Alligator mississippiensis: one gene and its partners. The protein of the gene in region 2 purifies or fractionates together with the protein of the main gene of each other region. This does not show direct contact. Links are inferred from orthologs where the notes say so. Each region holds a gene or a part of one and is shown on either strand. Other genes may lie near its edges. The genes, in order: SRSF6, RRP1B and LYAR.

Region 1 (10,190 bases), on a different chromosome or scaffold from region 2:
AGTCAGGAGCTGGAGCCCCACAGCTACAGTCGCACTGGGAGTCGCCCTGTGAGGAAGCTGTGTGTGGTGGCCAGGGTTAATGTTGTAAGTGGGCTCAGACAGGAGCATGGGCTGGTGGTGGCTTGGCCCGGAGGTTTTGAAAAGTTAAAAAATGATTGGTGGCGGGGATTTCGTTTTCCCCACCAATCAGGCCCTGGAAAAGCAGAAGACTTGCCCCCCTCACCCAGGGGTCAGGTAGGGAAACCGGACCTGAGAGGAGGCTCACCTCTTGTGTCACCTGATAGGTCCCACCAGCCACCTGCATGGGGATAAAAGGGGCAGCGCACCTAGCCCTGGCTGGGGGGGAAGGTGGGAGAGAGGACAACGAGGGACAAAGGAGAGAAGTCCAGAAGAGCTGGCAGGAGCTGGCCAGCAGGGTGGATCGGTTGCCCCAGAGCCTGGGAGCTGCAGGAGGTGGCTTGACTAAGGATTGGAGCTGCAGGCGGCAGCAGCTCAGAGCTCCTGCTGCTCAGCACACAAGTGGTGCATGGTGGATCCCCTGCTAAGGACCCAAGCCACAGGCAGTGGCTCAGGAATCTGACCCCCGGCAGGGAGGCCAGGAGCTCGGTGTGCAGGCAGGGAGTGGCGTGGGAGCCAAAGCCCCAAGCCTGCAGGCAGCAGCTCAGGTTTTCCGACCTCCAGTGTGAGGCCGGGTAGCTTGGCATGCAGACAGCATGTGGAGGATCCTGAAGGGTTGAGAGCCTAGACCTGTAGGCAGCAGCACAGGCATTGATAGCTTGGTGACAGAGTTCTTGTCTGCTCTGTGGTAGACTTGGGTTTGATCCCTGGCTAAGGCATGGAAAGGGTGATTTGTTAGGGAGAGGGACTTACCAGTGGGTAGAAAGGTTTTCCTCACCTTCCCCCCTGCCTTTCTGGGGTGCCTGTACCTTATATTTTGTGAAGACTTGCACCCCAAACTTGTTGATTTTCCTCTGTATATGTGTACATTATCTTTACTGGGCAATCTCCTCTTGCTCTCCTACACCCATTGCCCTTCCCACATGTGTGTCATATCTTAACCTGGTTCTTTCCCTATTAAACCCGTATATGGTTAAGTTCCAACTGGTCTTGGCACTACTCTATAGCAGATAGGAGGGAAGTGGCTACCCCTCCCACAGCGTACTAGCACTCATTAAAATCCCATCAACTGGAGAGGGGGTACCTTGTCTAAGTACCACCCAGATTACAGGAATAACAAAGACTTGGTGGGATAGCTCGCATGACTGGAGTAGTGTCATGGATGGGTACGAACTGTTCAGGAAGGGCAGGCAGGGGAGAAAAGGAGGAGTTGTGCAATATATAAAAGAGCTGTTTCATTGCTCAGAGCTCTAGTATGAAACTGGAGATAGGCCTGTTGAAAGCCTCTGGGTTAGGGTCAGAGGGGGGAGCAACAAGGGATGGTGATGTAGTGACATCACCTTTCCTGCCAGGGGTCAGGCATTTCTGCTATAGACCACCAGACCAGGAGGATGAGGTGGATGAGGCTTTCTTCTAACAGCTAGTGCAAGTTTCCTGATCACAGGCCCTGGTTTTCATGTGGTAGGGCAATACAGCAGTTCACAGGCAATCTAGGTTGTTGGAGAGTGTTGGGTACAACTTCCTGATGCAAGTGCTGGAGCAGTCAACTAGGGGCTGTGTTCTTGACCTGCTGCTTACAAACAGGGAAGAATTAGTGGGAAATGCAATAGTAGATGGCAACTTGGGCAGCAGCCACCACGAGATGATTGAATTCAGGATCCTGAGGAAAGGAAGGAAGGAAGGAGAGAGTGCGAACCCTGGAATTCGGAAAAGCAGACTTTGACTCCCTCAGGGAACTGATGGACATGATCCCTGGGAGGCCAGTCTGAGCAGGAGAGGAGTCCAGAAGACCTGGCTTTACTTCAAAGAAACATAGGGTGCAGGAATAAACCATCCCAATGTGCAGGAAGACTAGCAAGTATGGCAGAAGACCAGCTTTACTTAGCAGGGAACTCTTCAGTGAGCTAAAACATGAAAAGGAAGCTTACAGGAAGTGGAAACTTGGACAAACAACTAAGAAGAAGTATAAGAGCATTGCTTGGGCATGCAGGGATGAAATCAGGAAGGCCAAAGCACAATTGGAATTCCAGCTAGCAAGGGTTGTGAAGGGAAATGAGAAGAGTTTCAGCAAGTATGTCAGCAACAAGAGAAACATCAGGGGAAGCAAGATTCTCTTACTGAATGGGGGAAGCATCCTTGTGACAGATGGTGTGGAAAAAGCTGAAGTACTCAATGCCTTTTTCTCCTCAGTCAGCATCCAGACTACTGCAGTGGGCAGCACAGTTTGGGGAGGAGGTGAATAGTGAACAGTGGCGAAAGAACAGGTTATGGACTATTTAAAAAAGCTGGATGTGTACAAGTCCGTGGGGCAAGACGCAATGCACCCAAGGGTGGTGAAGGAGTTGGCTGATGTGATTGCAGCACTGGTGGCCATTATCTTCGAAAACTTGCAGTGACTAGGAGAGGTTCCAGATGATTGTAAAAGGGCAGCTATAGTGCCCATCTTTAAGAAAGGAAAGAAGGAAGGTCCGGGGAACTACAGACTGGTCAGCCTCACCTCAGTCCCAGGAAAAATCATGGAGCAGGTTCTCAAGGAATGTATTTCTAAGCCCTTGGAGAAGAAGAAGGTGATTAGGCACAGACAGCATGGATTCACCAAGGGCAAATCATGCCTGACCAACCTAATTGTCTTCTAAGAAGAGTAGTGGATGTGATATACCTTCACTTTAGCAAGACTTTTGATATGGTCTCCTACAACATTCAAGCATGCTAAGGAAGTACAGGTTGGATGAATGGACTGTAATATTGATAGAAAGCTGGCTGAATCGTTGGGCTCAATGGGTAGTGATCAATGGCTCAATGTCAAGCTGGCAGCCGGCAGAGTGCCCCAGGGGTCAGTCTTAGGACTGGTTTTATTGCATATCTTCATTAGCAATCTGGTAGATGGGATGGAGTGCACCGTCGCAAAGTTTGCAGATGACACCAAGTTGCAGGGAACAGTGGATACACCAGAGGGTACAGCTAGGATTCAGAGAGACCTGGACAAGTTGGAGGATTGGACCAAAAGAAATATTATGAAATGCAATAAGGAGAAGTGCAAAGTCCTGCACTTAGGATGGAGTAATCACATGCACCAGTAAAGGCTGGAGACTCACTGGCCTAGCAGCAGGTCTGCAGAAAAAGACCTTGGGGGTTACAGTGGACTATAAGCTGAATATGAGCCAACAGTGTGCGCTTGTGGCGAAGAAAGCTAACGGCATACTGGGCTGCATTAGTAGGAGTGTTGACAGCAGATGGAGGGAAGTGATTATTCTCCTCTATTTGGCACTGCTGTGGCCACATCTAGAGTACTCTGCCTCAGTGGCGATGTGTAGGGGGTGCACAGGGTGTATGTGCACCCCCTGAGAGTGCGGGTGCACCCCCTGACAGGCAGCGCTCCCCGCTTAGGCGAAGGGCGGGGGGGGCAGCAGAAGCACCGGTGCCCCCACTGCAAGCGCTGGCTGGGGAGTGGGAGCGCTGTGGCCACTTCTGGAATTGCCAAAGCCACTTCCAGAAGCCGGTGAGTGAGATTGACCATGGGGGGACCCTCTGGTTGGCAAGATTGGCCACAGCGTGACTCCCCTCCCCCCCCGGTCAATGAGATTGGCTGCAGGGGACCCCGTCCCCCATCACTGAGCTGTTCTCAGTGGTGGCAGATGGCAGAACAAGGAATAATGGTCTCAAGTTGCAGCAAGTGAAGTTTAGGTTAGATATTAGGAAAAACTTTCTCACTAGGAGGTTGGTAAAACACTGGAAAAGATTCCCCAGAGGTTGTGGAATCTCTGTCCTTGGAAGTTTTTATGACCTGGTTAGGCAAAGCCTTGGCTGGGATGATCTAGTTGGGGATGGTCCCGCTTTGAGCAGGCGGTTGGACTAGATGACCTCCTGAGATCCCTTCTAACCCTAAAGTTCTCGCATTCTATGATTATGCCTCCCAGGCTCAGAGGCTGCTGTGGTACAGTTCACTTACAAAAACATGCCAGGAAAACTATTAGGGCCACCTGTTGCAATGGCACTTATTAACCGCTACAGGGAGCAGCAGTGCCAGGGAATAGTATTGTCCTGTCCTTTTTCCATTGCCTCAAAATTGGTTTTCTCTAAGCACTTGGGTAAATCACTTGCTCCAAGGATGGTATGTAGATGCAGAGCAACAAATTCTCAAAGAGCTGTTTCCTGGGCAGCAACTTTGTGCCAATATATTTGCTGCTGAACAGGAAATTATTCTGAGAGCCGCTTCTACAATATTATGTAGACTACTGCACCCGTGACTTTGAGGAGGGCTGTGGAGTGTTATATTGCTATATATTTCAATGTGTGTGCAGTTTAAGGTTGATCTAGTGACTTTATGAGTTATTAAATTTCAACGACCTAAAGGATGACAGACTGAAGTATATCTTTCTGAGTTTCTCAGCAGCAGCTGCTGAGAAACTCAGACACACCCTTCTCAGGCTGGGAACTAAATTATCCTGTATATCAAAGTGTTTCTGAGTGACATAGTATTAAAAAAATACCACCTTCAAATCTTCATATGTACAGGTTTTTCCATTGAGAGAGAAACATGTTGAGACAATTGCTAAAATCATCTGAGACTTTTAAATCATGCACTAAGTGAGGAAGGAACAGTTTATAAAAATAAAAATTTAGTCCCAGAGATTTCCATTTCTCTGAAACAAACTGAGCAACTGGCTTGTTATACATTAACTGAGAGCTGAGTAACGTCATGAAAACTTGAAGGCAATTGTTGGAGTCTCTGGCGGGTTATATTAGTGGTGCTAACAGTCCCAGGAGATCATAATGGAGCATTAGTAGCATCTGGGTTTACTCTTCATAGGGACAGAGCTGGTAAATCTCAGAGTAGGAGGAAAAAAGTGGTTCTAATGCTTAAAATGCTGCTGGAGAAAAGGCAGCATCTCAGTTTCTCGATGGAATTTTTGAAGCGTGGAAGCAGAGTGGCCGGAGCCACCAACAAGGGCTATTTTTAAAAATGTTTTATTTGGGCAACTATTTAAAAATGTTTTATTTGGGCAACTACAGAATTAAAACTCCATCGCAGGAAGGATGCCCAGGAATTGTTTATCCGGGGTCATGGACATCTTTGCAAAAGGAGCAATGGCATTTTTTAGGATGAGATAATAGTGCTCACTCAGGCAGGTTGACATCCTAGCAGGAGGGCTACGCTATGTTGCTTCAAATGGAGGCGAACCCCACCTGGAATCTGGTCACGTATCATGCATGGGGGCAGCAGCCACAGCTGTGCTGGTTGCAGTCCCCGAGCAGACTAGGGACGTTTCCCTCTCTAAAGCGCCTGCGCGCTGCATGCCCGTGCCCCCAGGCATCCGCCGTTCATCTTCCAGCACAGGTGGCCGGGCGCGACGGACACTGGAGCTTGCGCTCAGTGCCCTTCCCGCCCTCTCCCAGCCGGGTCTGCCCTGCGCAGGCGCAAAAGGAGCTGTGGGAACGCGTGGAGAGCCCTGCGCTGGCGCAACAGCGCTCGTCGTGCTACTAGGTATGCGCCGTCACGCCTGCACAGAGAGCGCTTCTTCCTCCGTCCCAGCCGCCCCTGGAAGCGTCATGCCGCCGCTCACGTTCTCCGCGGTGACGTCACATGCCCCGCCCCCCGGTATAAAGGCCTGCGCGGGCGACCGGCGCCATTGTGGTGCGGAGCAGGCCGCAGGCGGCGAGCGCGGCCTGGCAGCACCGACCTCCCGGCGGTCCCCGGCCCCGCTCGCAGCCATGCCGCGTGTCTACATCGGGCGCCTCAGCTACCACGTGCGGGAGAAGGACATCCAGCGCTTCTTCAGCGGCTACGGCCGCCTGCTCGAGGTCGATCTCAAAAACGGGTGAGGCGGCGCCGCGGCCTACTGCGGGGGCGGCGCGGGGTGGCCCTTCCGCCCGCCTCGGCCCGTGCCTGGCCCTGCTGCGCGGCCGCGGCCCGAGCGGGGCTGGCGTCTGCCGCGTGGCGCCCGCTTCAAAATGGCGGCGACGGGGCGGGAGGGGGTGCCGTGGCAGTCGCTGCCTTTGTCCCCGCCGGGGCCGGGCCGGGCGGGGCGATGCGATGCGATGCGATGTGAGGCCGGGCTGACGGCGCTGCCCCCCAGGTACGGCTTCGTGGAGTTCGAGGACTCGCGCGACGCGGACGATGCCGTTTACGAGCTGAACGGCAAGGACCTGTGCGGGGAGCGGGTGATCGTGGAGCACGCCCGAGGCCCCCGCCGGGACCGCGACGGATACAGCTACAGCAGCCGCAGTGAGTGCAGCTCCGGCTTCCCTCGGCTCAGGCGCGGGGGCCACGGGCGCCTGCTCGGGTCTGACTGGGGGGTGGTTGCGTGCCTGGCCCGGGGGGCGGGGGAGCCTCCCCGGGCGAGGGGCTCAGAGCTGTTGGGGGCTCCCTAGTGCGCGGCTGTAGTGGGGCTTCACACCAAGTGGTGCACTGTGGGTGTCTTCTAACGGTAGGGAGGGGGGCGGGATTTGCCAAGCTGACAAGGCCTCCTTAAGGAGGATGCTTGTCAACAGCACCTCTCCCTTATTGTACTGACTTGGGACCCTTTGGTGGCAGGGGTGATGGTGCATCCCTGATGGAGGGTGGGGGTGAAGTCCTGGGGGTCACTGGAAGCAGACTTACGGGATGTTTCTGCTGATTACGCAGAACGTAGCCAGGGGGAGGGGCTTGCTGAGGCACGTGAGCTTGCAGTGAGGGGGAGAAGCGGCTTGCGAAGGCTTTTTGTACCCTGAGCTCGTTTTAAGTTGATGAGCTGAGTGGAGTTGAATTGGCCTGGTGCTGTGCTTTAAAAGCACGAAGCCTTGTCTCAGAAAAATCTGAGAGGCTCATTGCTGGGTGGGCGGGGATCTTTGTATTACAAGTGTTTTGCAAATTCAAATGTATGTTGTGTTTTAAACTTGTTGCATGTTCAATTCAAACTTTTTAACAAGTCCTTGATGTTTCAATTTAAAAGTGACCAGTGGGGCTGAGGCTGTGTCCACTGAGGCTAAGATGACTGCCTTTCCTGATTGGCCATGGCTTTTCCATACATTGTGTGACCCTTGCCCTATGACCCTTTGGCTGACCTTACCGGAAGCCATGACGACAGCAGCCTTTTGCCATTAGACGCAGGGTGATGGTGAGGATTCCAAGGGTTAGACAAAACTGGTTAAACTGAACTAGGTGACTGTTAACCTTGCGTGTTTTGTGGCCAAACCACCACCAAAAACCTCATACTGTGATGTAAGTACTTAGTGTAATTAGTAACGTTTTTGTAAAATGTAGAAATGCATGTAATCAGTTAAGTTTTATATTTTACAATGTTCTGTAAAATAAAACTTAGCAAGGTAAATCTAATAAAGGAGCAGTCACTCTCTAACAGATCTTAGGAGCACAGACTTGTAGGATTTTAGTCTCTTTGATTTGCCATTAATATAGATTATGGCAAAATTGCAACTTTGTTGGAGGCTTAGAAAGATAAAGTCCTACTCCAGTAAATGTAATCTGTATTTAACTAACTTTTTCAGAACTTTTTGTTTTCTTCACACTATGAGAGAGTCTGACTTGTTTTCTTTGCACAATAAAGGTGGATATAGCAGTCGCAGACAATCGGGAAGAGATAAATATGGACCACCTGTGCGTACAGAATACAGACTGATTGTTGAAAACCTTTCCAGTCGCTGTAGTTGGCAGGATTTGAAAGTACGTACTAATGTGACAATGTTAGTCTAGCTTCCTGCTTGGTCACAATACTTCCATTTTATTGTGAATATTCATGATTTGGGAAAGTCATTTGGAACTTATTCATTCGTGTCTGTTGACACTCTTGGTGAGTTTTTTACCTTTGTTTAGGCATGTTACATTCCAGAAGCATGAAATGCTTATGTAACTCTTCATCTGTTCTCTGAAGGATTTCATGAGGCAAGCTGGTGAAGTAACCTATGCAGATGCTCATAAAGAACGCACAAATGAAGGGGTAATAGAATTTCGATCTTACTCAGATATGAAGCGTGCCCTGGACAAATTGGATGGCACAGAGATAAATGGCAGGAAGATAAGGCTGGTTGAGGACAAGCCACGTTCAAGCCATAGGCGATCTTACTCTGGCAGCCGGTCAAGGTAACCTTTTGAAATATTTGATTGATCTTTATAGCAAAAGTCTCCTGCTAGCAGTAGGAGAAGAGTCTATTATATTTAGTCTAAACTTGAGAGAGTAATCATTTCCTTTTAATTAGATTACATCTTGCAGATAAGATGATTGTTAGGATGTGGAGGGGAATAGCTTTCTATGATAAAACATTACGTAAGTGATCAGGTGTATTTCAGGAAAGACAGTTTACCTTCTGAAACATCATAAGTAGTTCAGTGTCAGATGGTATTCTTACTGTAGGTTGATCTGTGACTTGCCTGCCTTTGTGTGCGTCTCCCTGTCCCAGCCCAAGAAATTGTTGTAAACATCTGTGGATGTTTAGAGTTTCACAAGGGCACTTTGAAACATTGTCAGGTCACGCTCTAGAAGAAGGTCGCGAAGCAGGAGTCGCAGGAGCAGGAGTAGCCGCAGCCGATCCCGTAGTGTCTCTAAAAGCCGGTCACGGTGAGTAACGTACATTATTTATTGGCTATTTCTGTTAAATTAGAAATTGTGACCCTTCCTTGGTAAGTGTGACTGTATGTAAAACTGACATGAGTAATTTTTTTCAGTTCCTATCAAATATTTTGTTCTCTTCAAGATCTAAATCCAGGTCACGGAGCAAAGATCGTTCGCGTTCCAGATCTAAAAGCAGGAAGTCAAGATCAAAGAGCAAATCTAAACCTAAGTCTGACCGGGGTTCCCGCTCCCGCAGCAGATCCAAGGCAAAATCTGAGAAGTCTCGCAGCAGGTCTAGGTCCATGTCTCGCTCTCCCAAAGAAAATGGTAAAGGAGATGCTAAGTCTAAATCCAGATCAAGGAGTAGGTCTCGTTCCAACTCGCCACAGCAGCAAGCCTCTGTCAAGGCTCGTTCAGAGTCACCATCCAAAAGAGCTGCATCAAGGTCCCACTCCAGATCTCATTCAAAGTCTCGCTCACGATCAAGATCTAGTTCAAGAGATTAAGACTAGAACTCTCCTCTTACTTTGCACACTATTATGGAACATTTTCCTACTTGCCAGGCCATTAGTCTTTTATGTTAGTCCTTCAGAAGTTGGTTCCTTCTTTTGCAGAAAGGAATGGCCTGAGAACCAAGTAATGAGGCATAAAGGTTTGATTTGTATCTAAATTTGGTGAAAAGATGAGGTGGTGTGGAAATGGTGGTAAGAGCAGGAAGAGAGTCCCCTTTTTCTAGAAAAATAAAGTTAAACTTTTGATTTTTAGCATTTCAGCAGAAATAATTTGACTGCTGTTAAGAGGAAAGTGGGTTTTATATTAAAATAAACTCTTAAGCATAAGACGCTTAAATTCAGGCTTTTTTGAGAACGTCATTTTTTTTTTTTCCTAATTTTTCACTCTTAAAATTACGGGCCTTAGTAGTATAAAAGGTTACGTCTTGCTATCAAAGACACAAAAGCATTGTTGAACTGGTCAGTGTAGATGCCTTGGCTATTTCAGTTTGTGGAAGCAAAGTGGGAACTGTACATACAGTTAATATATAATAACTAGGCAAATTTCAGACCAGCAATAAACTCAAGTTGGAAGCACTTGTGCTGTATCTTAACTCGCCAAAAGTAAGCTTCATGTCTCTCCTCTTCCTTTCCCCTTCCCCAACTACTCTGACTGTATTAAAAGCTAATAAAGGTACTACTCTGTAGCCTTGCATGATGCAGTATTGCCTAAAATCCTAGGTATCAAAGTTCAAAGAATGGAAGTGTTGTGACTCTACTTTGCTTGGATTCCAGGTGATGTTCCAACTCTGACACGTTTGTGTCTTTTGGATGTGGTCCAAGTCACTAGTGTTTTGTATGGCTTGCTGAACTCTAAATGTTTATCTATTGGGTATGTGAAAATAAGTAACTTTTAAACTCTCTTTCCTGCACACACCCCCCCCCCCCTCGAGTTACCACCCACTTTGCATCAAAATAAGAGCCACAGTCCTATTGTGTGTGAATTTTAAACCTTATAGGGATCTCTAAATACATT
Region 2 (9,838 bases):
TTTCCTTTGGAGCAAACATTCCAATTTTGAATGAAGTCAAAGTTAGCACCGCTACTCTGTTTATGAAAACTTTGGTTAATGCAGTGGTCTCATACCTTTAAGCTTCTGACTTGTTACTGTACCATATACTTTATGATACAAGGCTCATAGAGTATCAGAGGAAGTCACACACAAGAAAAGCCTGTTTGGTCATTCTGATTCATCCCCCTGCCAATAGGGTGCAATTCCCTATGGCATTTCTTTCTAGTACCCATTCCAAAAAATAATTTGAATGACAGCATATCTAATTCTGTGGGGAAAGCCCGGTTGCAAACCTGGGGAAAAAAGGTGGGTGAGCAATGCTTTTAACAGAAGTTTCACTTCACCACTGGTCAAGAAATACCTTCAGTAAGATAAAGATAACGTGAGTCCCTGTTTATAATCAGTGCAGATGCTTCTTCTTGTGTTGTCAAGCCACATAATTAAGTAAAACAAATGCATTGTAATTACAATTAAACTTAAGGTACATTATTAATACTATCTGAATTGTTCAAAATTATTTCAGTTGTAATAAGAATTCAAGGGTTTCCAAATTATAACGTGTCACTTTTCTTCAAGTCCTAGTACAGTAAAAGCTCTGTTATCTGGCATCCCCTGCGAATGGGGATATTAACAAAAATATGCACAAAAAGTGGCCCCAGCTGCCACTTCTCCCACCACATCTGGGGCGTCCCTCCGCCACTCCTGTGGCATCGCTGCCCCTCCAGCGGGCCACGCAGGACAGGGAGGTGGGCCCCGCACAGGCCTGCACAGCTTGTTATGCCCCCAGGCTGTGGGGGCTGGGCAGACCAAGCTGCTTTGCCCCAAGCCATGGGGCCTCAGAGAAACTGGAAGTGCCCACCGTGGGCACTTCTGGTTTCACTTTATCTTACAAGCTGCCAAGCCGGTTAGTGGAGCATGCCAGCTTGTAAGATCCCAGATAACAGAACTTCTACTGTATTAGTAAACCCACTTTGAAAACTTACATATTTTAGGATCTGTTAAAAGTGACAATAAAAACTGTGATCAGACCTATTGTAGAAGGGTGAAAGAGGTTTAAAATATCCTTATGATGCTAAAACATGTAACGCTAGCATGTGATGCTAACATATAATACATGTAATAACCTTGGTATTACAAACTAATAATCTGCATCAGTCTGTACACCAAGTAAAACATCAAAATATGTTTTGCTTGCTCACCCAGTACTATTTTTAATGTAGAAAAGAAAGAAGAGAACATTCAAACTGGTATATCTATGCTTCCCAAACTTTTGATACCTGAGGAACACTTTCCTTCTGGATTAAAACTGAGGGTGCACTCCACTCTTACATCCAAAAAGGTGTATGTATATGTACTAGTATATGAAAGACATACATAATGATGCCTGATATTTTGGTCCTGTGGGCCGAATCAGCAGTGTTAGGTCAGCCGGTAGGCTCGATCCTGTTGCATAGGGCTGGTGCAGCTGGGACCTATGCATGCCATGTGGTGCTTAGAAATTTGGCAGCGGAAGAGTAATGACAATGTTAATTGCCACCACTCCCCCACAACCAAATTTCTGGATGCATGGAAAGCCCTGAAGGCTATATGATATTGTCCTGTGGGCCAGATCTGGTACTATGTAGTATTTTTGCAGCACATTTTCCCTGCTCTCACTACTGTGCCACAGTACACCCTCAAAGAAGTGTCAGCCCCAGAATAAGAGGACCATGCTACAGATCAATATGTTCGTGCTGTATCCAGTTTAACTACTGAACCATGTTTTGAGAAAAAGATGAAGGCTTGGTTTGTTTGTTGGAGGGGTTGTTTTTACTATTATTATATACTGGTAATTACATTTTAGCTAGTATACAGCTGCAAGAGCAAGTACCTTCACTGCCTTCTCTAAATCTTGGAAAATATTAACTAATCCTAACAACTATAAATGAGATGCGACTATCGAGCCAACATGCCTTTAGGACAATTCCTGTTAGCCTAGCATATCTTCTGAAGTTCAAACACATACAAGACTAGAAAGTGGGTGTTTAAATAAGTTACCCTGTTTTAGGCTGTGCATGGATCTCAACATAGCAGTTTCAGGTTTCCAGCAACTTCCCTGAAACAAGCTTTCCCATCTCATGGATATTGTCAGTGGTGGAATAGATACTCGGGGCCTCATTCTACTCTGCTTCACCCCAGTATTAACTGCACCAGAATCAATAGTTTCTGCAGCTGTGGCAACAGGAAGCAAGCTGGACTGTAAACACAACTCTGGAATTATGATTGATGCCTCCAAAATGCCTACTACAGATGATGTCATGTTTTAAATGGGTCAGGGGGAATTGTTCCATAGATAAAAGGACACTAACTTTCATAGCCTTCTAAAAAATATTTCATAAAGGCAACACTTTGCATGCAATGTCATCAGTATCTAATACTCTTTTTCTTACAGCAGATATTTTCACTTGATTTGTTCTCAAACTGGACATACACACTGTTAGGGATCCTATAACAACAGGCCTGTCTTAGATAACAGGAAACTAATAACCGTGTAGGTACTATGCAACATTTTGGTTAAAGTGCATACCAACTGCTAAGTACAAAAGATAAATAAATGGTCATAACTATGGCCTGGTGTATGTACATGAGGGGTGGAGAGGATTGGGGGAAAATCTTGTATTGGTCTAGTTCCAGACAATGAAGGCAAATGCGCTATACCCGTGGTTTACCCCAGTGAGTTACTAAAGGCAAGTTACATCATTGTATTAGGAACTTGTGCTACTATAACCTCACTGTAATTCCAATGATAAAACAGTCTGCCTACTCTATATACAAAAAAGGAAGGAAAATAAACCTCCTTTTGGGTCTAAAGACCTTACTGGTTCTTGCACTATTCCCTGCTTAGTATTTAAACTGGGCTTGAAACCTATAATCTCTCAAAAACTATCATCAATTTTGGAGCATCCACTGTATGTGCAGGCCCCTGTGGCTAGATGGGGTCTGGATCACTCACCTTTAATGACTTCAAGTAATTAACAAAAGGCCTATCTTAGACTAGAGGCAATGGATAATCTTGTAGGCACCATGCAACGTTTTGGTTAAAGTACATATAGTAGTAATTTCCGAACTGTGGGCCATGACCCCAAATGGGGTCGCAACATCAGCAGATGGGGTCGTAGGGGTGGGAGGCTGTGGGTTGGGAGTGAGGGGCCATGCTGAGGAAATGGGGCCACAAATGGGGTCATGCTGAGGAAAAGTTTGGGAAGCACTGGCATACAGATTGTTAAGTATGACAGATAAATGGTTGTACTACGGTCTAGTGTATGTGTACAGGAGGTAGAAGGGGTTGAGGGGAACACTTGCACTGGTCTAGTTCCATACAACGAAGGCAGACATGCTATATCCATGGTTCCCCGATATACCTGATGCCAGACAAACATGGTTAAATTGCAGACAGACTGCTCTTCGCAGCTGGTAACAACCACCTCCACATTTGCCCAGCTATTGCAGGGAAAAAACCAGGTCCCTCCCTCAGTGAAAGGTAATTTAACAGGAGCAAGAAAGGCCCACTCAGCCAAGTCTGGGCCAGAGCAGGAGAGACTTCCAACTCTCCCCTGAGCAGCAGGAGCTGCAGCAGCATCTCTCCTTGCCCTCCTGTTCCACAGCCCACGTGCAGATCGCAGCTGGTCCCACTGACCCACGTGTCTCCTATACCCTGCCCCCCCCATTTCTTGCGGGTGATGCTCTCAGGGCACATCCGCTTACTCCTCCATGCCCAGCCTTTACACCCAGGGTGCCCACAGCACCCTCCACCCCAGCCCGGCACAGATACCCAGCACCACGTGCCCGCCTCCCCCACCACGTGTCTACCCCCGCCCTCACCCGCCGGGCTCTGGGTCCTGACGCTGATGTAACCCCGCAGCTTCTTCACGGCGCGGTCCCGGACCCGCTTCTCGTTGGCGGCCAGTCTCTGCGCGAACTGGATCTCGGGCGGCGGCGGCACGGCGGCGGCGGGAGCCATGGTGCCCGCTCCCCCACGCCCCGCGGCTCCGCCCCACGCCCGCTGCCGCTGCTCGACCGCCCCGGATGGAGCCGCCGCCGCGTTCCATCGAACGCCGCCTGATGACGTCACAAGCGCCCTCTGTCGCACAAGTTGCCGGTTCCGGCAGCCTGCGTTCTACTCGGGCCCGGCTTGCCAGGGGAACGATCCTTAGGTAATCATTGGACAATCGTTTCCACCCTCGTACGACCAACAGTAGGAAAAGGAATCAGAACCCGTGGTGGAGGTGATATCTTTTATTAGACCAACTACATTTGTGCAAAATAATTTCTTTAATTTTGAGTGTAAGAATTTTTTTTTTGTAATTTGCAAAAATCTAGTTGGTCTAACAAAAGATATCACCTCTACCACGAGTTCTGATTTCTTTTGCTTCTTGACCAATACGGCTACAACCTGGATACCTGATAATAGTAGGAAAAGCATTCCAAACGCACAATCATTTTTGAGGCAGCTCCTGGATGCAGCATAGGCAAAACCCAAACTATGGCATTTGTACAATAATTTTAATCTTTGTACTGTCAATACTAAAAACCTTCAAAATGCATGATCATTTTTGAGACAGTTCCTTGATGCAACATAGGCAAAACCCAAACTACAACGTGTACAATTATTTTAATCCTTGTACAATCAACAGTATTAAAAGCCTTCAAAATGCACAATCATTTTTAAGGCAGCTCATTGATGCAGCACAGGCAAAACTCAAACTATAGGGGTATAGGTTGTTGGTCTAAGGACATAGGCAGACAGGGTTCTTCGGGTAAACCTGATATCTTTCATTAGACCAGCTCAAATAGTTGGAAAAAATTTTCTTTGCAAGCTTTCAGGTACAAACACCCTTTGTCAGGCTGCAGTGGGAGAAAACTCCCTGGGGTTCATTGTCTAGCTGCATAGAAACCAGACAACCACGGGTAAAGTTTTACTGCAGTATATTTGCTCGAGCAATGACCATTAAGCCAGCAAAGAGGCAAAATGGCCCCCCCTAAACGGTGGGGCGATCTTTTATACTTTTTACAATAAGGCAAGACTACAGGGTTAACAAAAGCAATACTTGGGCAGTGCTTTACAAATCTTTATAACAGCATATTTCTATTAAGATGAACTAGCACTTTTTAAAAGCTAAAAGTTAAGTAACAGTAACATTATGATACGTTAGCAAGAACTTGCAGTGGTAGATACTTCTTAAGGACAGGATCACTGTACTTAGAACAATGGCTTCTTTGTCTTATCTTGTTCCTTGCTGTAGCTGATTTTACAGCACACAGAGACAGATTCACTTGCTGCATTTTACTCAGAAAATGCTTAACACAGTTAAAATGATTACTTGACACAAGCAAAGGCTTAGCTATCATTCTGCCTTGTGGTCAGCGGCATTGCTAGGCCACAGGTCATGCCTTGTATTCAGCTGCAAAGCTAATACTTCTTAATAATCCAAATTATTGTTAACCTAACAGTATGCTATCAGAAAACTATTCTATTTCAGGGTAATAACAAACATGCTCACTACAAGGCTGAGGAAGCAGCTGCAGTGGGTATGCGCTCTTCCTAGATGGAATGAATAGCAAAGAGTAAAAGTAAACTCAAACTATGGCATTTGTACACTATACAATCATACAACCTTATATGATCCATAATAGTAGAAGCCATCAACATGCATGATCATTTTTGAGGCAGCTGATTGGTACAACATATGAAAAACTCAAGTCACTCTCGGAATCTTAACCAACTTTGGGGTTTGCTGCCAATGAGCACTTTCTTATGATGGCTTGCCTTGAAATCAAGAAATGCTTCAACTTTGATGACCCACTTCTCGCTCACTGGAGTTACAGTAAGCAATATAAAGTAAATAAGACTTATTTGCATACTTGGTGCATAGGTTTTTCAGTGTACAATAGTTTTTCAGCAAATACGATAATTTTGAGCTTCCAATACAGTAATTTCAATTTAAGACCTGGCAACACTGAAAAGCATGGCGGAAGGACAAGGCTGGAGGTTCAGGAGCCTGGTGGCAGCCATTACTACCCTCCCCAGGCTGCATCTAGGAGCAAAGCACCAGCCACAGTGCAATGATTTCCCCTGAAAACCTGGGCTCTTATGTAGCAGCCGTGCCTAGAGTGCCCATGCATGGTTGCACCATGCTTTTTGCTTGCTTAAAAGACCCCCGCCCTTTGCCAAGTTCACTCAACACCCGCACCTTACCACTTGAAACCCTGCCTCAGGGGTGAAAAGAGTATTACCAATTTGCAAACTGAATCATAGAAAATGAGTGTTGGAAGGGACCTCAAGAAGTCATCTAGTGAAGTCCAATGTTTCCCAACGTCTTCCTGGGATGGAAGGTCTTTCAGTTACTTCCTTGTTATAGTTCTTTTGAGTGAAAGGTGTTTATTGGTGAGAGGAAAAAGAGTGATGAGTTTTTTGGGAGCACCACAGACCTGTATGAGAGTGGGGTGCAGACTTGAAAGGGACACTGGGAGAGAATGGAGAGATCTTCCTTGGGTGTGAGGCAAGGGAACTAAGAGTGGATGGGAATGGAGTGGGGAAAGCAGGAAGTGTTTTATTGTACCTAAATGTGACTGGGGTTTGGAAGAGTTGGGAAGTATGGTAGGGATTGCCTGAAGGATTTGCTTTTATGGGCAATAGGCAGGAATGTGGGGGGTGCGGTAGAATTTTAAAGTTTTTCTATTTTCTAGGGAGCTTAGTCTTGTTTCTTAGCTGTTGGTGGCTTGTAATTTCTTGCAAGTCACCCCAAGACTTTCTGGATGGGGTACATGTAGTACTCACAGGGGTCTGCCCCAGTTGCTGCTGCCTTCTCAACCCTGGTTCACCTCCTATTGCTCACCTGCCATGACTTCAGTGTTGGTTGTTATTGTTGGGGAGGGGATCCCTGAGGGTCAGTAATCACTCTGTGGGGTAGGCTGATCTGTCCACCCCAACCAGCTATACCTGGGACTTTCTGACCTCTCTCAGTAAAGAGGGGGGGTGCACCCCATTTAGGTTCTGGGCACTTGCTGGGGTCTCAGCTGTCACAGACTCAGCCCTCTTTCTCTGTGGCTACACCCTCTACCTGAGCATGCTGTTCAAAGCCTCAGCCTCCAGGTTCAGTCCTCCCTCTATAACAATCCCCTTCTTAGGATCCACTTGCACCTTAATCATCTCTGCCCCTGTCTCAGGGCCTGAACACTGGTGCTTATTGCAGGAAGGCACCCTAAAGCACCCCCAACTATGGCCTCCTCCTCCCCTTACAGCCATAATCCAGTTCTCCACTGGATCTAATCAAAATGTAAACATCAGCCCAAAAGCTGTGAAACAAAAACCCCTCCCAACTCTAGGTTAATACTTCCCTGCAAGCTGCTAATTCCCCTTGGCCTCTTCTTCACAGCTCTCTGGGACTGCTTAGACACCAATCAGCCCACCTTACACAGGACCACTTCACCTTGCTGCCTACAGGCCCAAATCAACCTTTTCAACTCAGGGACTGGTTTATATTCCTCATCTTCAACCCAGCTCACTTCCTGATTGTCCCTTTTGTTCGTCTATCTCTAGTGCCAAGTGCAGCTAATTGCCTTATTAGCTGCCTGATCCCTGGCCGTTTACCTATTCAACCTCTCCTGGTAACAGGGGCAGGGGTTCCCTTTTGCAATAGGATATACATCTTAATACTAACAGGAACACAGTTGTCACCATCTCTGTGACCAACTCTGACCAGCATTGCCAACATCCTTGGACATGCAGAAATATTATTATTCTCATTTCAAATAAGGATGTTAGAAATCAAGAAGTATATGGATCCATGCTGGTGGAAGCCTTTGCCTCCCACCTAGCACTCTTCACTCACAAAGCATACTTTACAGGGTCAGAGCCTGGCTTTAGCTAGAAGTCCCATAAAGCTGAACCTAGATTTTCTAAGCTTCTGTGCATTTTCTTAACCATAACCTCATCTGTCCTATCTGGAAACTATATTTTTTGGTTTTGCTTCTAAGTTTTGTTTTATTTTAGTTTAAATCACTGCCTGGGGGCAAAGTGGGATTTTCATATAGGATTACAATGTTACAATAAGAAGAGCCTGTCTTGATATATTTTTCTATTTTAAGAATGTCTAACGAGATATTCAGACTATAAAATCCAAAAGATGCAGTTCATAATGTCCATCATAATAAAGACTAAAACTTACAAAAACAGTGGGACCACCTAATTTGTTCTCCATTTTACTTTTGAATAGCAGATAAAACTATAATTTTTCCTTTCTTTCTTTTTCTAGTTCCAGATATTATAGCATGCACTTATATAAGAGTCTATGAATAAGGAAATGTAAATATTCAAAGCATTTTGTAGAAATTAATGTGGGTATTTTGGCATGATGGGAGGCCAATATTGCATATTTGTCTGCTCAGAATTGACCCTGGCCAAGGGAAACTCAGGGACTTGGTCAGCAGGATATCTTGGGAGATGAGCCTGAGGGCAAAAGGAGTCCAGAAGAGCTGGCTACACTTCGTTAAGGCTTTTTTAAGGTTGTAGGAGCAAGCAATCCCAATGTGACAGAAGAATGGGAAGTGTAAGAAGAAACCAGCCTGGCTAGACAGAGAGCTCTTCAAGGAGCTGAAATTCAAAAAGGAATTCTATTAAAAGTGGAAACTCGGCCATATTATTAGGGAAGACTAAGAGAGTATTGCATGGGCATGCAGGGTGAAAATTAGGAAGGCCAAGGCACAATTCGAGATGCAGCAGGCAAGGGACATAAAAGGCAATAGAAAAGTATTCTACAGGCACGTCAAAAGTAAAAGGAAGACCAGAGATTCTATATCTCCCTTAAAGAATGCAGAAGGCAATCTAGTCACAGTCAATGTGGAGAAGGCCAAGTATTTAATGTATTTTACTTCATTTTTCATACATAGGGGCAGCTACCAGATGACAAGTGCAGTTGGCAGCAGAGATAGGGAAGGAGACAACCAGCCTATAGTAATGGCAAAACAGACTAGGGATTATTTACAGAAGCTAGATGCTTTCAAGTTGGCAGGGCCAGGATGGGATGCACCTGAGGTTACTGAAGGCATTGGCTAAGGTAATTTGAGAGCCAATGGCTATTTTCCTTGAAAACTTGTGAAGGTTGGGTGAGGTCCCAGATGACTGGAAAGAGGCAAGTATAGTGCCAATTTTTCAAAAAGGGAAGGAGGAGGATCTGGGGAACTATAGCTATCAGCCTGAACTCAATACCTGGAAAATTCGTGAAGCAGGTCCTCAAGGAATCTACTGTAAGATGCCTAAAGAAGAACAAGGTGGTCAAGAACCATCAGCATGGATTCACCAAGAGCGAGTCATGCCTGACCAATCTGATTTCTTTCTATGATACAGTGACAGGATCTGTGAATGAGGGGAGAGCAGTGGGCATGGTGACTGTAGCAAGGCTATTTAGCACTGATGAGGCCTCACTTGGAGTACCATGTTCAGCTCTGGGCCCCACACTGCAGGAAGGAGGTAGACAGTTTGGAAACAGTCCAGCGCAGAGCAACAAAAATGATACGGGTCATGGGAGACAAGATTTATGAGAAGAGACTGAAAGAACTAGGGTAATGTAGGCTGGAGAAGAAAACACTGGGTGGGGGGGCAGTCTCCAAATACTTGAAGAGTGATTATAGAGAGGACATAGATGGGCTTTTCTTTGTGGCTGTTGAAGACAGACATAGGAGTAATGGCCTTAAACTGCAGCAGAAGAAATTTAGGCTGGAGTTTAGGAAGAACTTTCTGAATATGAGGGTGGCCAGGCTACCTAGAGAAGTTGTGGAA
Region 3 (9,798 bases), on a different chromosome or scaffold from region 2:
GCTGTACAAAATAGCCCCAGCCTGAGCAGCCTCCCATCTAAACTCTATGGGGATTCAGGAACTAGGCTTCCCTCTGTTTGAATCCAGTTTAGTTTGGCATGCTTCAAGAAAACCTACCAGCAGAATATGGTCCCTTATCAAATGCAGTTGTAACCACTTTCTTATAAAACACAGCCAAAGGAGAAATAAAAGTTGATACTGCCTGTTCTGTGAAGTAGCCTAGTACAGAGGTGTCAAAGATACAGCCCACTGGCTGGATCCAGCGCACAGAAACCTGTCGTTTGGCCCACAGTGTTGCCTATGGGTCTTAAACTGGACTTCTACGCCACACATGGCACATGTCAGACCAGTCCTGTGTGCCAACAGGGCCTCATGAATTTGACATCCCTGGCCTAGTAGTTATAATACTCACACAGGAAGCAGAGAACAGGCTTCAGCGCCTTCAGTCGTGAGGTAGTTTAAACCTATGCCTCCTCTCTCCAGTACCCTGCTGGTTAGGACACTGTCATAGGAGGTAGGAGTACTGGATTTAAAGCATGGGTTAGGCCAGTCTCCTGGAGATGGGAAATGTGGGTTGGAGCCCTCTTAAGTTAAAGAAGGTATTGAACCTAAGTTTTCCACTTTCTTGGAAAGAGTTTGAATCATTAAGTGATACCATTGTAAGGTTTCAATACAATCACCATTTTCTTCTCTAGCAACTGCATTTTAAAAACAAAACAGTAAATATTTTTCAGTTCCTTGAAAAAACATTTGTGTTTACCCTCAGAAGAGTGTCCTGGACTCTGAATTACAAACAGATGGAGGCACCTACCTGGAGCGCTTAACAAGTGCTTAAGCTCTGGAGAGGCTTCATAATGCGCCCATTCAAAACGTCTTCTATTTGCTAGCTCTGGCTAACTCCCAGATACTGCAGGGTTTCTTTGGATGACTGCAAAGGCATTAACTCTCCTTGTGCACTGTATAGAAACCAAGCACCTAACTAAGGGTTCTAGGATAGTCTGGGGGCCAGGCAGCCATAAAGTTAGGTACCATGGTGCCTAAATCCTGTTCGGTCTAATCCACACTGCCTAACTAATCCACACTGCCTAAGTTTATTGCAAATATTTTTCATTTATTTGGGCTAGTCTTTTGAAAACCCGCTAAAGGAATCAGATATCTAAGTCCCATTGCATTTCAAAATGGGATGGATGCCTAACTCCTTTCAACTACTTTGAAAATCTCAGAGCTTATAACAGCATTTCTCTAACAACAGAAAATATTTGGATCTCAGCTTTCCTTTCCCTTATTTACTTATTAAATCTATCTTCTCCCAGTTATTATTTTATGTAAATTTGTCATATTCATTTTGAAGATGATGCAAGAAGAGAAGAAGAGCAAACACAGAGCCCAATCATTATGGCAGGTAAAGAAACTTTCAGCAGTACACCAATAAGAGATTTTTAGGGCCGATACCAACAGCCGATTTTTAAGGAGGCACATCAGCAGATACTGATCTGATTTTCAATATCAGCCCAGCAGCTTGGAGAACTGCGTGCAGCTGGTAATTCTGGTGTGGTGGAAAGGGAGAGGAAAGGGTTGTGGGGGGGCAAATCAAGGCCCCTGCAGCGAAGAAGGAGTGGGGCTGGAGCTGGGACAAGCACTGCCCAGCTGGGGTGAAACAGGTGTGGGATGGAGCCGCAGCTTGTCCTGGGGCCACAATGGGGGGAGGCCTCCCACCGCTGTATGCTGTTGGTTCGGGAGCCACTGGTCTGGCACTTACCCGCTCGTCCAGCAGTTCCCACCACTCGTCCGAGAAGGCATGGGGGGCTGGGGTCGTGCCCTCGCATTTGCACGGGACAGGCCAGGAATAGCCCCATGCAACCCCAGCCCCAGCCTACTCCATCCTGCCCCATGCAGATCTGGGGGCACATGTGTGTCGTCCCCCCACCCCCGACAAGTGGTGGGAAATGCCCGACTAGCACTGGACTGGCAGCTCCCAGATGAGCGGTGCGCAGCAGCAGGAGCCGCATCCCCTCCCCCCTGGGACAAGCCGTGGCTCCATCTTGCACCCACCCTGGCTGGGCAGCAGTTGCTCCACCCCACTGCTCCCTCACCACGGGGACCTTGATCTGCCCCCACCCCTTTCCCTCCCTCATCCCCTTCTACCACACCAAATTTACCAGCTGCATGCAGCTCTCCAAGCTGCTGGGCTGTGCTCCTTGCTGCCTACATGCTGTGTTACAGCTGCACACACACACAAGCATTTATCACCCAAATTATTAGCCACATCAGACCAATTTCCGATACGATAAATTTTCTTTATATCGGTGCCAATCCCCTATTGGATTGATGCATCAGTGCACCTCTAGAAACTTATCTTGAAATGTAGTTACTGCTCACTGCACATTCTAATTTCACTTAAAAGTTCTGGAAGCATCAACTGACCTGCAGATTAAGAAATTTCAGTGTATAAATCTAGGCTATAAATTCTGAAAAACTTAAAAGTGGCTTCCAGATCAATTTTCTTTCTAACACTAACAAACAGCAAAAGTGGATAATCTTACGAGGCCTCAGCCACTAAATCCCATATCTGGCCTGGTCACCCTTACTGTGTCCCACACAGAACTTTAAAAAGAAGTCTCATCATTATCATTATCTTGCAGTACAGTACTGGCAGCAGACCAAAGCCAGAGACTCAAGCCTCATTATGCTAATCACTGTAAGCACCAAAATCATGATTGCAACTCAAAGACTTTACCATCATTTCCTGCACACAGAATGCACTTTCCCCCAAAAAAATGCTTGCTAGAAACCAGAGTGTGCCCTAGACAAAGGAACTATAGTAAGAGCAGTTTTTGCCCCTTACCAAGTGAAACAAAGTAAAATTTGTAATGCACAGGGAGCAGAACAATGAACAAGCTCAGCTCCCTAACTACTGCTATTCAGTTACCTACTATAAGGAAAGATCTCTCTCTCTTCATTCTACCTGTCAAAAACAAGGTTTGTATTATATGCCAGGATGCACTGGACATGAAAAAACATGGTAACACCTAATTATGATCAGCTACAAAATAAATTGGAATGATGCACATTTTAATTAAAGCAAATACAAAATGCAGATTAGGTGCAAGCAAGCAATCTAAGACCCCCTAGTTTTTCCCTTAAAACTGTGATAAGGTATCAACATTACTATTTAGTAGCCAGCAGAAAAATTCTTTCCTCAAACATCAACTTATGGTACCCTGTTTATTGCTTCAGTAAAGGTTGGAGTACCTGAAATACTGACTGAAAGCAGCTAATACGTTTTTATGTGCTTTGAAGCAGACTCCTTTTACCACCAACATGCAGTCACACAGAAGCCCTTGAATACGCTGTTCATGTAGCTGCTGGAGAAGATGACAACTATGGCTAGCAACAGCATCCATGCTAGAGCACCATTTAATTACCTACAACAAAACAAGACAAAAAATACTTAAGAGAAATGCAGCTTACATCTTCCTGCAGACCAAGTTTAAAAATAGGTTAAAAGGTATAATGCAATGCAATGCAATGATTAGTTTCTCTCTCCCCAGTGCAACAGAGCTCCTCATAATTTAGCATGACATGTAGGCAACTTAAGGAGAATTTTTAGTCACTAAGAGCGTACTACAGACATCAACATGTTTATTAAAAATCAGTATTTCCTAACAGTGAGCATCTGCCCAAGGTATACTACAAAGTAGATGGGATTGTAACCACGCATGATTTGAACAGGCATACAAATTAGATTTTATCAGAAAGACATACCATGAATCTTAGTGAGGCACGTTTTGAAAAAGGTCTTGATGCCTTAACTTAACACAAGAAGAGCTTCTCTTTCTTTTTTTAGAAAAAGTTTTCATATCCCAAGCCAAATCAACCAAATCAATTCCAAATTCATGAGGCGGTCAAGAACCATATGTGGCCCTACTGCTGGCAAAAAACATCCTCCATCCCCACCTGGGAATTCAGGTGTTTCCTAAAGATTTGGTGGACATCCTACGTACAAGCCCAAGCCCAGAGACTTGGGGTTCGGATGCCCCCGAATTTCATCACATGGCCACAGGAGCAAGCTAGGAAGGAGTCTCCTGTTTCCATAAAGCGGGGGGTAAAGCCAAGATCTTCCCACTGGGAAAGAAACTGCGAAGTTTACACATAACCAATGTGCCAGCAAAGCGGTTTTCCCCAACCACTAGAAATTGTTCCCAGGTCTACCCTGTATTAACCAAACTCAGGTGACTCCTAAGGACATCTGTCCGCATCGCACAGCGCTGCCATTTCCCGGGGAGACAGGTCCCTTATGTGCCACGTGTCGGAGGCCCGACGCTGTGACACGAGCTCTCCCGGCCCTGCCCCTCTCGCCCTAGGGGAACAAGACACCCCGTTTCCACCGGATTTGTCCCAAGCCATCAGCCGTTGCGCTCTCACGGCGGTTACAGCCAGGGCGGGGCAGGCCCGCCTTCGCCCAACGCTACTAAGCCTGTTTCCAGCTCCTTAGGGAAGCGTGGGAGACGGCGCCGCGGGGCGGAGGCAGCCAGCGCAGGCCGAGGGGCACGAGCGGCCAGGCCCAGGGCTGCGGCAGTCCCAGCCCCGGGTATTGGAATCCGAGGCCCCGGGAGCTCCCCCCCACGCAACACCTCCCGCCTCACCGGCTCCAACCGCCGCTCTACCCCATCCCCGCCTCGGGCTCGGCCCCGGCCCCTCCGCGCACTTCCGGCCCCGGCGCTTCCACTTCCGCTTCCGCCCGGCGGGGAGTCGTTGGCGCGCGCCGGGAGTTGAGAGCGGCCGTCGGAGCTTCGCACGTGTGTCGGCGCCGCTGAGTGCGCGATTGGCCGCTCGCGCCGCAGGACCCGGGAGCAGGTACGCTGAGAGCCGCGGGCCCAGCCTCTCTCTTGCCCGGCTTTCGCCCTGCCCGCCCGGCCGCTCCTGGCATGGGCCCGCGCGGGAGGTGGTCCATGGCCCATCCCAGCACGTGGGAATGAAGGGCAGGGTTTTGAGGCGGATCGGACTCGTGCCTTGGAGGGAAGCAGTAGAGACAGGCCCGTGCTGGGTTGTTCCAGCTGCCGACCAGGTCTGAGCTCAGTCGTTTTTGTAGGTGCGGACAGACGTGCAGCTCCCAGCTGTAGCTCAGAAGGATTTCTGCAAAACTTCCTGAGCTACAGCGTTACACTGGACCAAACACAAGTTTGCTGTTGGTTTCAGGAGGAAGGAGCGTCCTGCTGGGGGCTGGGAGCCTGCAGCTGGGTTCCCATTGCAATGACCCTGCTCCATGTTTTCAGACCGGGAGGGGGAAAAGCAGAGGAGTGAGCTCCCCCAGCTGGTGCTGAAAGGTGGGGTGAGTAAATTGCGGCCCCCTCCACTTCAGGGGGGCTGCAATACACCTCACCCAGCCTCCAGAGGAGGGTTAAAACCCCCCAGGACCAAACTCTCTGCTTCCTTTCCCATTCTGAAAACGGATATGCTGGGAGCTGTGCAGAGGCAAGTTACAAAAGTCACTACATTTTGCAATATCTTTACTTGATACCTCGTGCAATGAGGGGTCAGATTTTCACACAGTCTTGCAGCCGTGCACCTGTGTTTGGTCACAACTACGAACTGCTTTTTGTGGCCAGATCAGGTGAAAATTGTCACTTCTGTCTGCACCTCTAATTGTGACTTGATGCGCATTTGTGTAGCAGACACACACTTTCCACAGACCTGGGTATCTCGTTAAAAGACGCAGCTCTTTACCCCCAAAACCATTCTGGGTCGAAACCACAGAAACGTTAAACCACCAGTATAGGCAAGGAAAGCAGGATGGGAGCAAGTCGCAGATAAGTAATGCATCGTGCAAGTCTGGTTGCTGTCAGGAGGGACTAGTTCAGCAGCAGGCAGAGCTAACAGTAATTTCAGGGAACACGTGGAAGAAAGGGGTCCTGGAGGAGGGAGCTGAATTGGACTGAGGATGTAGGACCTTTGGGAAGACTGATGTGCTAGCTATTGGGAGCATGGGGAAAAAGGCATGGGGGCAAGAGTGAGGGGGAAGAAAACATTAAAATGAGAAGGTGAAGAACAGTGCATGAACAAGCGAGCAGAGAACAGAGCCTTAAATTTGAATAAAAAGAGTTTGATTTTCATGCAGAAAAGTGATCTAGTGATATGTGTTCAGAAAGAGATAATACTGGCAGAAAAGGAAGACTGGAGAGGGAGAGTTGGGGATACCAGTGTGTAGATAGTGAGCTAACCTAGGTAACTCCTCTAGATTACAGGCAGACTCAGCCTTGGAGAGGAAAGACGTATTTGAGAAACGTTATAAAGGGAGACTATACAGATATAGGCACCTTGATGCATAGAGAGAAGCAAAAACTGAATCATTGGTAACTTCAAGGTTATACGCTTGTTGCAGTTTTCTATTTGAAACTACGTCTTTAGAGTTAGTTCACATCACATCACTGGAACATGTCTACATGTTCGTTAATATGCCGTTGCTACAGCGCGTTAAGTTTAATACCTCTGATATGAGGTACTAGATAAAGGCATAGTAGCTGCACTAATGTGCAGTAGCAAAGACGAATGTTTTTTTATGATGCTTAATGCGCAGTAGATGAGTTCTGCGCATTAGCATGGTTTTTGCCATGAGGTACTAATGCACAGTAGACCGGTCCACTGTACATTAAGGTGTCTTGTACCCACTTAGAAATAAACTAGAAATAAAAATGAGAATTATGTAGAGCAGCAAATAACTGGCAATGCTTGCTCATAATAAATGTTTCATAGGTTTGAAAATGATAGGTTAATCAATATACAATACATTTGTGTGGGTTTTTAAAATATTTTTCCTAAATAATTCAGATGATACATTTTTTCTCTAGCGTTTTGAAGATTTTACTGTAACTGCCTTTGAGAAGAAGCTATTTGGATCCAAAATGGTAGTCTTCACATGCAATGCATGTGGAGAATCTGTGAAGAAAGGACAAGTTGAAAAACATGTAAATATTTGCAGAAGGTGTCAGTGCCTTTCTTGTATGGATTGTGGCAAAGATTTCTGGTAGGTAAATGAAGTATTTGTTTGACAATACCTGCTTGGTAGCAGCAGCAGGAGATGCTTTAGGTAGCTTTACTCTTTACTCTTCTACTTTAGCATCCTGAGTGCAAATATAGCATTAATTGCATGCTGTACTTTGGGCAGGGTAAGAGTTACAGCACAAGCAATCATTGATACCAATTTGTGGGCAAGAGGATCCAAAGCTGGGAACTTGAAAGAGACAATAGCACCTTCCCCTTTTACAGGCTGGAGTGGATTAGTGACAGTGGGCACATTTACGCTAACTCCTGAGTAAAGCATCACAGTCTACACGTGTGCCTATATTAGGGTACAGAAAACTAATTAATTCTGTGATAGGCTAGTACTGCTCAACAGAAGTACAGCAACTGCCGGAAATTTCCATTTTTTTGAAGCCAGAGCAGCAACCGCCACTCCAGTTTCAAAAAAATGGAATTTTCAAATTTCTGGCAGGTGCTCAGTCCTGAGTATGCCAGATTTATGAGGTTATGCCAGGGGCGGGCAATTATTTTGGACAGAGGGCCGCTTACTGAGTTTTGGCAAACCACCAAGGGCTGCATGATAGGCAGCCAGGAGCAGATAAATATTAATTTTCTAAATTTTTTTAGGGGCCCCACAGGCCGGATAAAATGGCCTGGTGGGCCACATCCAGCCCCCGGGCCACATTTTGCCCACCTCTGGGTTCCACTGTACTATGGCAGAGTACTTGCGTGCACTCAAACGTGTAGACTGTGACCAGGGCTGGCTGGGGCATGCAGGTGCTACAGTGTCCAGCCCCTCCAGAGCCTGGGGCTGACCCCCAGACCTCCTGCTCCAGGTCAGCTGTCCCCGGGCTCAGAATCTTCACATATGTCTGAGACTGCCCTGGCTCTAATTGCTGCAGTGCACATGAAGACTTTGTGCCTGGGAGCAGCTGACTCCAGTGCAAACTGCGCCAGAGTTTATTCAGGCACATTAATATCATGTATCTACACATTCTAGTCATTCCTTCTGGGCAAGGGAACCCTCTCTTCACTTTGTTACTGTCTTTTTCTTTTGTTTACCCTAGTGATGGCAAAAACTTTTATCTCTGTATGGTGAGAAACAGTTGTAATTTTTAGATTTTCCTTTTCCTTTATTAGTTTTAGTATTTATATCTTTTTATTGGGGCAAACTGTTGGATGCTGTGGTTACTGGAGAATTGCTATGAAATCCTGTAATTCCAAAGTTACAGCTCTTCTTGTAAATATCCAGATCTCTGAAAAAAATGCCATTGCAGTCTGCTTTCCAGTTTTAAAAGTAAAAATTAGATAAAAGTAACAACGGGACTAAGGAAGTGGAATAATGGTAGGTCCATATCAGTAAGTTCACCACTCCAATGGTTTACATTTTCAAGCCCCCTTTTAAGTATTTTAACTTGATCAGGAGACTACCTAGACCAAACCTTGTTTAAAAAAATCTAATTTAGAATTTTTTTATATGTAATTATTCTTAAGCTATTATTCTAACTTGAGAACATATCTTTATTGTGAATGCTACTCTATAAATATTTAGAATTTTTAAATGTGCAGAAGAATAAAAAATGCAAACACTTTTCTAGCAGGCTTTATTGAGAATAAATATGCATACCACATATACTGTATACAACATATAATTATGAATGGTATAGAAAGCTTTGTTTATATTGTTTAGAGACTCTGTATTCTCTTCAGATAACTTCGCTAGAAGCTAAGAAAGTGCTTTGAATGGTGAAAATAGGCATGTATTTAAGCATGTAGAACCATACTTATGTGAGTAGTTCCATTGGCATTAGTGGGACCATTTACATACTGAGTTACACATGCTTGTGTTAATGGTATTTGGGTTTTAATTTTTTACTGTAGTGTTTGGCTTTCCATGGCTTCTATTTCTCTGTTTTTGTAAATACTGTTGAGTTTGAAAAGCTGGATTCATTGACAGAATATTATATACAGGTTTTATGTTAAAAGGTTGTTTTTTTTTTAAATATCAAAGGGGTGACGATTATAAGAACCACGTGAAGTGCATAAGTGAAGATCAGAAATATGGTGGCAAAGGTTATGACGCAAAAACTAACAAAGGCGATGTAAAACAGCAGGAGTGGATTCAAGTAAGACTTGTTTTTCATATATATATATATATATATATATATATATATATATTCAGTATATCCTGCTAGGTATAAATGCAAACAAGACACAAATTTAGTATACAAAGCAGCTCGTATTTGAAAAATGTAAATACTGGTTCATATGAGGGAGTTAATATACAGATGTTTCACTTTAAATTTGTGTCCTGAAAAAATGATCTGTTATGAAGAGGAGACAAACCAAATATTTTTGTAAAAATGTGCCTCACCAGTTCTCTGTTGCAGTTACTGTGCTGACAGTAACATTGTGAATATTGCAAATGTGGTATACTCTGTGCTTGAAGGGAATACATTAATCTCTTACTCAAGATGCTTCTTGTTTCTTAGGAAATTGAACTTAATTCCTTCTGTGAAGGAAAAAAATTACAACCTAAACTATTAAGAAAAGATTCTTGAAACTCTTCAGAGGATTTTAGAGGCACTTCTATTTCAGCCCTGAAAATAAACATATGAAGCTGAAAAATAGGGTTATTTGTAGTATACCTCCTCCTCTTAGTTTAACAAAATTTTCCTTTCTGATGTCATTTGTTTTTCTTTTAAATATTTGAAAATTATGTTAAATCATAGTTGGTCAATTTTTTTTTCTCTAACTAATGCATTATCTGAAAGTTTA

What was found.
Region 1: the proteins of RRP1B (region 2) and SRSF6 purify together in Homo sapiens (affinity purification with mass spectrometry; 3 studies listed by BioGRID and IntAct, with this or other methods). This does not show direct contact. The link is inferred for Alligator mississippiensis from reciprocal best matches to the Homo sapiens genes RRP1B and SRSF6.
Region 3: the proteins of RRP1B (region 2) and LYAR purify together in Homo sapiens (co-immunoprecipitation; 3 studies listed by IntAct, with this or other methods). This does not show direct contact. The link is inferred for Alligator mississippiensis from reciprocal best matches to the Homo sapiens genes RRP1B and LYAR.

Annotation. Positions count from the first base shown.
Region 1 is NC_081832.1:22,595,594-22,605,783, reverse strand, and holds the start of SRSF6 (serine/arginine-rich splicing factor 6), read left to right. Parts: upstream 1-5,734; 5' UTR 5,735-5,829; coding exon 5,830-5,936; intron 5,937-6,194; coding exon 6,195-6,343; intron 6,344-7,661; coding exon 7,662-7,777; intron 7,778-7,985; coding exon 7,986-8,194; intron 8,195-8,579; coding exon 8,580-8,669; intron 8,670-8,805; coding exon 8,806-9,169; 3' UTR 9,170-10,190. UniProt on the Homo sapiens protein: Plays a role in constitutive splicing and modulates the selection of alternative splice sites. Plays a role in the alternative splicing of MAPT/Tau exon 10. Binds to alternative exons of TNC pre-mRNA and promotes the expression of alternatively spliced TNC.
Region 2 is NC_081824.1:300,606,560-300,616,397, reverse strand, and holds the start of RRP1B (ribosomal RNA processing protein 1 homolog B), read right to left. Parts: upstream 4,088-9,838; 5' UTR 4,022-4,087; coding exon 3,883-4,021; intron 1-3,882. UniProt on the Homo sapiens protein: Positively regulates DNA damage-induced apoptosis by acting as a transcriptional coactivator of proapoptotic target genes of the transcriptional activator E2F1.
Region 3 is NC_081825.1:28,824,625-28,834,422, forward strand, and holds the start of LYAR (cell growth-regulating nucleolar protein), read left to right. Parts: upstream 1-4,757; 5' UTR 4,758-4,857; intron 4,858-6,848; 5' UTR 6,849-6,902; coding exon 6,903-7,024; intron 7,025-9,031; coding exon 9,032-9,146; intron 9,147-9,798. Other genes in the region: ZBTB49 (zinc finger and BTB domain-containing protein 49), read right to left, coding at 3,253-3,425, 3,766-3,768. UniProt on the Homo sapiens protein: Plays a role in the maintenance of the appropriate processing of 47S/45S pre-rRNA to 32S/30S pre-rRNAs and their subsequent processing to produce 18S and 28S rRNAs. Also acts at the level of transcription regulation.